Linked DNA regions of Oryctolagus cuniculus. The protein of the gene in region 1 interacts with the protein of each later gene in a pairwise test. Links are inferred from orthologs where the notes say so. Each region holds a gene or a part of one and is shown on either strand. Other genes may lie near its edges. The genes, in order: RPP30 and RPP14.

Region 1 (4,442 bases):
TTCTCCATATCCCAAAAATAAGCCACTTTCTAATGTGGCTTTGTGGAGCATCGTTTCCGAAAGATTTTTAGCCATGTCAAAATTCTCAACAACACAAATAGCTTGTAGATCTTTATTCTTTTAACTGCTGCAATGGAAAATGCCAGAAATAACAGGTGGGTTTTTGTGTGTGTGTAACTTGTAACTTGTCTTGCAAGTTTTAAGCCGTATTTGCAACATACTGAGCAATACCGTTTATAGGAATTACATTTGTAAATGCTGTTTAGGAACTGGCCCCTCTAATAAAAATGCCTTGTGAGCTTGCCAGTGGTAAAATGTTTTTGTTGCCTGGGAAATTTTGTTCACTTAATGTTCCAGGCAGCATCACTGTGATGATTAATCTGATGTGTGCACCGGACGAGGCCATGCGGTGCTCAGGTATTTGTTCAGTTATGCTGGGTGTGTCTGTGAGGCTGTTGGTTGGTGAGATCCTTGCTACCTAAGTCACACCTCTAGAGCAACTTCTCACCTCTAATCCCTGCTCACCTCCCGTGTTCCCTCTTGTCTTTCCACTCTTCCCACCCCTTCCTCTCTTCTTGCATCTCCTGCCTTCCCTTCCCTCCCTGTTCCCTTTCCTCTCTCCTTTTCTCCCCTGTTGCTCTGCCTTCCCTTCTTCAATTCCCTCTTATTCTCCCCTTTCGCCTTCCTCCACAACTCTCCCCTTTGTTTGGTTTGCTTAGGAGGTAGCACACTAGGCAAGAACTTAACCAAATACTTTGATTCACATGCAGTTCTACCATTGTTGCCTAAGCCTTAGATTTCTCCAATTTAAAAAGAGGATTTTTAATAGTATTTACACACCTTCTTTGAAAACTAAATAAGATACCTCCACAGTGATTTAGAAACCTGGCTGTCCTGGGTCCAGCATTGTGGCTCAGTGGATTAAATTGCTACTTGCAGTGCCAGCATCCCATATCAGAGCACTGGTTCAAGTCCTGGCTGTTCCGTTTCTAATCCAGCTTACTGCTAATGCACTTGGGGATAAAAAAGAGCAAAAGAGGATGCCAAGTACCTGGGCACCTGCCACCCACTCAAGGATCCAGTTCCATGCTCCTGGCTTTAGCCTGGCCCAGCCCTGGGTTGTTGTGGCCATCTGGGGAGTAAAGCAGCAAATGGAAGATGTTTCTCCCTATCTCTCTCCCTCTCCCTTTCCTCTCCCTCTCCATTTTCCCATTCTTCCTTTCAAATAAATAAATACATCCTTTAAAAAAAAAAGTCTGAGTGTTAAGTGTATGTTTAAAAACAAAAGATTGACCATCCCTGAGCATAATCCTTTCTCTTGCTTTTTCCCCTAAGCACAGGTGCAGAGGAAAAAGATGCCAGTATAGTCCTGCAAAATTAATGCGAGATTTTCTGATAAAAGCAAGGCTTAGTTTTGTGTGACCTCATTCCATTTGCAGGAATAATATCGTCTTCTGTTCTTAGGAATTACCGAGTATTGAAAGAGGCCAAAGGTAACCAAGAGGGGAAATGCAGGCTTCTACAAGGAACAGAGTCCTGAAAATTCCCTTGGGAGACCAATAAGGAACTCAAGGAGACCAGTAAGTAAACAAGTACTACATGAGGCGTGGGCCTAAGACCAGAGACTTCTCTGTGTACAGTTTGTGATCAACAAATACAGAGACTGAAAGCCTTTAGAAACGTTGGAGCGCTTTGGCATTGTCCGCATATCCGCGCTCCTGGTCAGGTGACTCTCCTGCAGCCGAGTTCGGGGAGCTTCCCTGCTGGTGAGTTGCTTAGTCCCTGAGGCGCTCACTGGGATTGCATGAGGAAGCGGGGTGGGGCACAGCGAGGACCTGCCGGGTGTCACGGACAGTTTCACACGCACGGATGTAAGTCGCACGGCAGTCCCACGACTCTGTGCTGTCGGCGAACGGATCCAGCAGTGTACAAAGTCATGGAACCAAGTGCAAAGGAGTGGAAACCTCCGATGCGCGGGCTACACACTATCTCGTACACTTTTCACATAGAAAATTGCAAAACATTTCCAGTTTGCACTTTCCTACTCCAAATCGCCTTCGGCTAAGCCCGCGTGAGTGCAGACCGCTCCTCCTGGAGCGAGCCCTGCCCTCTTGTGGCTGAAGATCAGACAACAGAGAACAGCGCGCTTCGACCGTTCAAAACTCCGAGACGCTTCCAACGCTTAGCAGAAGCGTCTGGTCCAAAGATTCACTTTCTACATCGTTTTATGGGAGTCAAGAGCTTCGACCCCCTACAGGGAAAACCAAGCTGCCTCATTCGGAAAAACACCAAGCATTGCGGTGAGACTTGATTTCAAGACACTGGTGATACTTGGAGGGAAGACAAATCCCTGCGGATCCCTAAAAATAAATGGTCAATCCGCAAGCTGGAAACTACAGTCCACGGCACACGTAAACTACAACTCCCAGCATGCCCCAGGGGGGCGGGCTCGGCGGCTGCGCAGAGGAGTGTGCGTGTGGGGTTTCGTGGGACTGCAGCATGGCGGTGTTTGCGGACTTGGACCTGCGAGCGGGTTCGGACCTGAAGTCTCTCCGCGGGCTGGTGGAGACCGCTGCTCACCGTGAGTTGCCCCTCTGGAGTTTCTAGGATGTTCCTGAAGATTTGCCTCGCGGCTGATGGATGGCAGAAGGCAGGGAGGCCGGGCTCCAAGTGTAGAGTCTTTTACGCTCAGCCCTTCCTGACCCTTCACAGTGGCTGAACAAAGGCGGGAAACGAGGGTCCGGACAGGGAGTGCTGTCGAGGCTCAGAGAAGAGGGAGAAGGTGGGAGAGGGGGAGCTGGGGCAGTGTTCTTTAGAGGGTAGGGGCGGAGGACATGGTGGGCGGGGGCCGGCGTGACCCGAAGGGCGGGACGCCACTCAACTTTTCAATGGAAGGGAAGCCCTAAGAGACGAGACCTGTGCAATGACTGAGGTTCGTCATGGCTTCAGTTTTCTTCGAGTGTGGGACTGGCGAGGTTAAAGGGTAGAGGTGCGTGCGGTTGGATCTGTTCCTCCGGGGACCGTTCTCAGCTCCTGTGAGCGCTGATGACTGGTGCTAGAAACAACCACTCCTTGCCAAGGTGAATGGTGCCATTTCTTCGTGGCCCCTTACGAAGTATCGTAGGGCCAGGACCGTCTTTTCCGCGCAGCCATTGTTAGCATTGCCTCCCAAGGCATTCCTCCTCAGGCGGCAGGGAGGGTAGATAGGACGAGCCCGGCCAATTAGCACATGTATCTTTGATGGTTCCTCTGAGGTGAACTTTCCAGGGTGTAGTAAGCGTTGCCTCCTCTAGGTGGGAGTCAGGTAGGTAGCCCAAACGTCCAGAACGGAGCTTGCTCTCTGATGAGAATGGTATGAGGATACTTCATGGAAAGTGGAATAAAAAAATGTATTGAGGCGCAAAAAACTTGAAATCCACGCATACTCATAAAGCGAGCCCCTGCTCCCAAAGAGTTCCTCGTGTGTTGGGGTGGGCAGTGGTGCGAGGGAATCCTCACTGCCTGGGTGAGGGGTCTCTGCAGGAAGCAGGCAGAGAGCCAAGTGAGAAAAAGGTGGCAGTGGAGAGCAGGAAGGTCGGCAGGATGAGAATGGACAAAGGGACGTGAAAGAGTCTGATGGGTGGACAGGAAAAGCGCAGCTAAAGGCCTTGCTGATAGTAACTCAGAGTAGCTGTCCATAGGCCAGGAGCTGTCTAATTCCCTTGACGGGCGTAGGAGTTAGTAGACGGTCTCACACTGGAGTTTGCAGCCATAACCACGGTGCTAACCTGCCTTCTGGTCTTGAGGTCTAGAGTCAGCATGGGTCTGTGGGTACAAGGAGAGATTGCCTCGTTTCATAACAAGAATATTCCATTTTCTTTCCAGTCGGCTATTCAGTTGTTGCCATCAATCATGTTGTTGACTTTAAGGAAAAGAAACAGGTAAAATTATATTTCTGAAGTTAATATGTTGGAATTGTCATGTGTTCATGTGAACATATTTCTTATGTGTTTCAAAAGTGCACTGGTATTGACTTGAACTATAATCACAAGATTGACTCTTCTTTATTTTATTGTCATGGACTCATTAACCAATTTCCCTCTACAACATAAATTTTTTCTTTAGGCCGACAATTGTATCTTATAGATTATTTCAGTCTAAAAAAATCAGTTTTTTTCCCTCCTGTGCATAGATTTCTCAGCTGCTTCTCTGTTCTCTGGCTCTTTTTCTTTACCATCTGTTTGTTTGTTTGTTTGATTATTTTTTCCCAAAGAAAAACTCCTTGTAAGTATTCCATGATGTCTTGTGTTGTTAACATGTACAGTCTTGGGTAACCACTTATCTTTTCTTGTAGGAAATTGAAAAGCCAATAGCTGTTTCTGAACTCTTCACAACATTGCCGATTGTGCAGGTTGGTGTTTTTTCTTTAGGAAGTGTAATAGTGAGTTCAGGCATACCCAGTC
Region 2 (4,505 bases), on another chromosome or scaffold:
CAACACTGGCCGCCCCACACTCCCAACCAAAGCAGGATCAGCATCTCTCGTTTATGAACGAATGCATTCTGTGAATGCATGCTGAGTGGGTGCACTGGCAGCGCTGAGCCAACGCAGACAAGGCCCTGTCCTCAGGGGGCTTATGCTGCAGCTTCCCTCCCACCCAATCCTCAGTGCAGCGGGGAGAGCGCCGGCTAGAACCTGACAGCCCGTTCCACCACTTCTCACTGCGTCGTCTTGGGCAAATCGCTTAGCCTATCTGTGCTTCAGTTTTCACTCCTGCATGGTTATAATAGCTACCTCAGGACTGTGAGGTGGTTCCACAAGGTGACCTGTGTAGAATTTTTTGCATAGTGCCTGGCGCACATTAAGCACTTGAGAAATACTCACCGTTGTTATTATTGTTTTTGTTATTATTAAATAAGTCCACCGAATTCCCAGCACCCAGAATTCCCAGCACCTAGGGCTGGCACTGTGGGGCAGCAACGGACGCTGGCATCCCACGTCAGAGCACTGCTCTGACTCCTGGCTGCTCTGCTTCTGATCCAGCTCCCTGCTAATGCATCTGAGAACTCAGCAGATGATGGCCTGGGTCCTTGGGCTGCTGTCACCGGTGTGGGAGACCCAGACGGAGTTCTGGGCTTTTGGTGTCCGCCTAGTGGCTGTTGTGGCAATTCGGGGCGAGAACCAAGGAGTGGAAGATCTCTCTTTCACTCTGCCTTTCCAAATCATAAATCTGAAAAAAAATAAAAATAAAAAATAAAAAGGCCGGCGCCGCGGCTCACTAGGCTAATCCTCCGCCTAGCGGCGCCGGCACACCGGGTTCCAGTCCCGGTCGGGGCGCCGGATTCTGTCCCGGTTGCCCCTCTTCCAGGCCAGCTCTCTGCTGTGGCCCGGGAGTGCAGTGGAGGATGGCCCAGGTGCCTGGGCCCTGCACCCCATGGGAGACCAGGAAAAGCACCTGGCTCCTGGCTCCTGCCTTCGGATCAGCGCGCTGGCCGCGGCGGCCATTGGAGGGTAAACCAACGGCAAAGGAAGACCTTTCTCTCTGTCTCTCTCTCTCACTGTCCACTCTGCCTGTCAAAAAATAAAAAATAAAAAAATAAAAAAAAACCACAGACAAGAATAGTGCTGAGTGCACAACAGGCACTCAGCGCGGTGTTAGTGAACAAACGTATGGATGAAGCTTGGCTTACGTTTGCAAACAGGACCAGGTGGGTCTTTTCGTGTCCACTCAGAGCACCTCCTATGTGCTGGCAACCACAGGGGACACTGAGGGAAGGTGCTGTCCGTCTTTGGGAGGTGCTGGGTACAGCAGAAGTTAAGCAGCGGAGATGCTAGACATCTACTGGCTGAAAAACCGAATGCATGAATAAATGAATGCCATGAAGCACTCTGCGGGGCTGCATACACACACCTCACGACCCGCACTCCGAGCACCCGGGGCGCCCCCAGGTTTCTCCCGAGTGGACACCAGAGGGCGCTGAGCTCCGCAGGGCTCACATCCCGAGGAGGATTCACCCATGGGTCCTGGGGCGGACGCCGCGCGGTGACGTCACATCCGCCAGGACGGCACGCTTCCGGGGGCGGGACAGGAACAAGCCAAACGAAAACTTACCGGGAGTTTGCCGGGCCCAGGCGCTGGCAGTCCCTTAGGGGCTCCAGACCTTGGCGGATATTCGGAGCGAACCCGGAGTCAGAGGAGGAGTCTTGCTCGTCCAACCGAGAGCAGGTAGGCGGAAGCCCTGGGGCGGCTGTTGTGTTCCGGACGTGCGCTCAGTCGGCCGCGCGGGTGTCCCCGGGCGCGTGCGCCGGGGTAGAGCGACCGGGAGGGAGGAGCCAGGCCGGAGGAGGTGCTGGGGGGCTCCAGCCGATCGTCCTCCCCGGTGTCGGTCTCGGCCGCGCCGGGCGGCCGGGAGGACTAAGCGGGCCCAGGGGACAGTGTGCTGCATCAGCGGCGGTCGCCACTTGGAAACGATGGAAAACGCAGGTCCCTAAGTCGCTGGGGGTTGATTTGTTGAAATAATTGAGTGAAAGTGTGGAGACCGCCTGCCGTATGCGGGGCCCTATTGTCGGTCCCTGGAGAAGGGCAGTGAGCCGGACGGAGCCGTGGACACCCTGCCGGGGCAAGGAGAGGAGGAGGGGGAGAGAGAACGTGAATTGCGGGTCTGTTACTAGCTGGCAGACGCCCGGGGTGGGGGGTGGGGGGCGAACAGGGCCCGAGGCGGGGCCGGGGGTCGTCGCGGTGTTAGGATGGGCACCGGGCCACGTGGAGGGGAGTCGGGGAGGCCTAGAAGGAGGCGGCGGGAGGAAGGGCGGTGCGTAACTGGCGGGAGAGCCTGGTGCGTGCGCGGCCCGTGTGCTGGAAGGGACGAGTGCGGGCCGTGGCGGGAGCAGCGGTGCGGGGTGCGGGAAGGGCCTCCCGGCAGGCGCACCCGGAGTCTGGCCTCGCTCTAGACAGATCCGGAGAGTGGGGTCTGGTAGATTCTGTGGCTGCGGGGGAGGGGCACAGGGGCGGAATCGGAGACCCTTGGTACCGACAGAGCAGTTTCTAGGCTTCCCTGCCGCCCCTGAGAAGGCTGGCTTCAGAGGGGAAGTGGACCGTGACTCCAGGCGTGCTTCCGTTTGGTGGCGGGCCTGGGGGCCGTGCCAGGCTCATCTTTACTTTCAGAACAGCCTGCAGAGGGCGCTGGTGTCACTGAGGAGTCCGGTTTTTGGCGAGCTCATGTGTTCCATGAGTTTGGAGAGGTGTTTTGTTTTGTTTGTTTGTTTCTTTTTTTTTTGGTAATATATGTGTAAGGTAAAACATCGTTTGATCCATTGTTTTTTTTTTATTTATTTTTATTTTTTGACAGGCAGAGTGGACAGTGAGAGAGAGAGACAGAGAGAAAGGTCTTCCTTTGCCATTGGTTCACCCTCCAATGGCCACCATGGCTGGCGCGCTGCGGCCGGCGCACCGCGCTGATCCAAAGCCAGGAGCCAGGTGCTTTTCCTGGTCTCCCATGGGGTGCAGGGCCCAAGCACCTGGGCCATCCTCCACTGCACTCCCGGGCCACAGCAGAGAGCTGGCCTGGAAGAGGGGCAACCGGGACAGAATCCGGCGCCCCGACCGGGACTAGAACCCGGTGTGCCGGCGCCGCAAGGCGGAGGATTAGCCTAGTGAGCCGCGGCGCTGGCCTGATCCATTGTTGTGTGCAGTTAGGTGGCATTAAGTGCATTCTGACTGTTGGGCAGCCACCATCGGTATCCATCTCCCAAATGCCCAGGGTCAGCAACTCCTTCGAAGCACTTGGAAATACTTGAGAAAGCACCTGTCATGTGCCAGGCACTGAAAGAAGTAGATGCGATTTTTGCTGTTTTTGCGCTTCTGGTTAGGCGGGGCTCTGGGGGCAGGTGGACGGTCACTGTGCTGTCCTGAAGCCAGAGGCGCAGTTGAACATAGGGTCCCCCGCTGCCGCCGTTCTCTGAGCTCTGTGTCCTCCAAGCCAGACACAGAAAATGCTGAGGTCTGTTGAATGGATGTGTGGATGGAGCTCCTGCCGTCCGGCTTGTGCTTGTCTCTGGGCTCTTCGTCTGGAAATGGGCCTGAACCTGAGAGGTTTTGAAAATGCTCGTCTGGATCTCTGTGACCTTGGCTTAGTTCTTCTCTGTGCTTGGGCCTCAGTTTCTGGGTCTCGGCAGCGGGGAGCCCAGATACTAAGCAAACAAGCAGTGTCAAGACGTCCTATAACGTGAGCATTCCCGAGAGGGCGGCAGAAGGGCTCGAGGGGGAGGCCGGGGGAAGAGGAACTGGAGGGCAGCACTCTGCGGGCCTCGAGCGTGCTCTGAGTTCTCGGAAGGCCCAGACCTCAGCAATGGCTCTGAGTGCCCATTCCAGGAATTCCTCAGTCTCTCACGGAGCTGCCAGGTGGTCCTGCCCAGACCTGACCCTGGACCGAGAGCAGGTTCACCTGGAAGGGGGGCAGCCAGCTGCTTGTTCGTGCTCTGGGCTGACTCAGAGTAAACCAGAAAGGGGCCCGCAGGTCTCAGGTTTGGCTCCTTTATGTTTTCATTTTTTTCCTCTGGATCCAGAGGCACCATTCCAGGGCAGTCTTGCCATGGCAGAGTAGGTAGAGCCTGGGCCAGGCGCTAGCCATGAGGGTGGTAATAGTGTCTGCCTCATAAAATCGCTTTGAAGGCGCAGAAGCTAAGGCATGTGCAGTGCGTAGTGCACACTGGGTGCTTAGTAAGGAGAAATGGGAGCTGGCTTGTTACTGAGGTGGAAGTGAGGGCAGTGGTCTGGCATATTGAACAATATAGCAGCTTCCTTGTATCTGTGGGGTGACCTGCATTTGACCAGAATTAGATAAGTTGCTGTCCTAAGAAGTCACTTTAAAATAAGTCATATTCTTATTAAAAGTGTGAAAAATAGCATTTTAATTTTTAAAGGTTATTTATTTGGAGGCAGAGTGATGGAGAAGAGGGGAGAGACAAAGAGAGCTCTTAGCTGTTGATTTGCTCCACCC

What was found.
Region 2: the proteins of RPP30 (region 1) and RPP14 interact in binary tests that used the Homo sapiens proteins (3 or more experiments, as listed by UniProt). The link is inferred for Oryctolagus cuniculus from reciprocal best matches to the Homo sapiens genes RPP30 and RPP14.

Annotation. Positions count from the first base shown.
Region 1 is NC_091446.1:39,534,606-39,539,047, reverse strand, and holds the start of RPP30 (ribonuclease P protein subunit p30), read left to right. Parts: upstream 1-1,592; 5' UTR 1,593-2,430; coding exon 2,431-2,581; intron 2,582-3,864; coding exon 3,865-3,920; intron 3,921-4,333; coding exon 4,334-4,390; intron 4,391-4,442. UniProt on the Homo sapiens protein: Component of ribonuclease P, a ribonucleoprotein complex that generates mature tRNA molecules by cleaving their 5'-ends. Also a component of the MRP ribonuclease complex, which cleaves pre-rRNA sequences.
Region 2 is NC_091441.1:91,676,542-91,681,046, reverse strand, and holds the start of RPP14 (ribonuclease P protein subunit p14), read left to right. Parts: upstream 1-1,557; 5' UTR 1,558-1,732; exon of another isoform or gene 1,733-2,166; intron 2,167-4,505. UniProt on the Homo sapiens protein: Component of ribonuclease P, a ribonucleoprotein complex that generates mature tRNA molecules by cleaving their 5'-ends.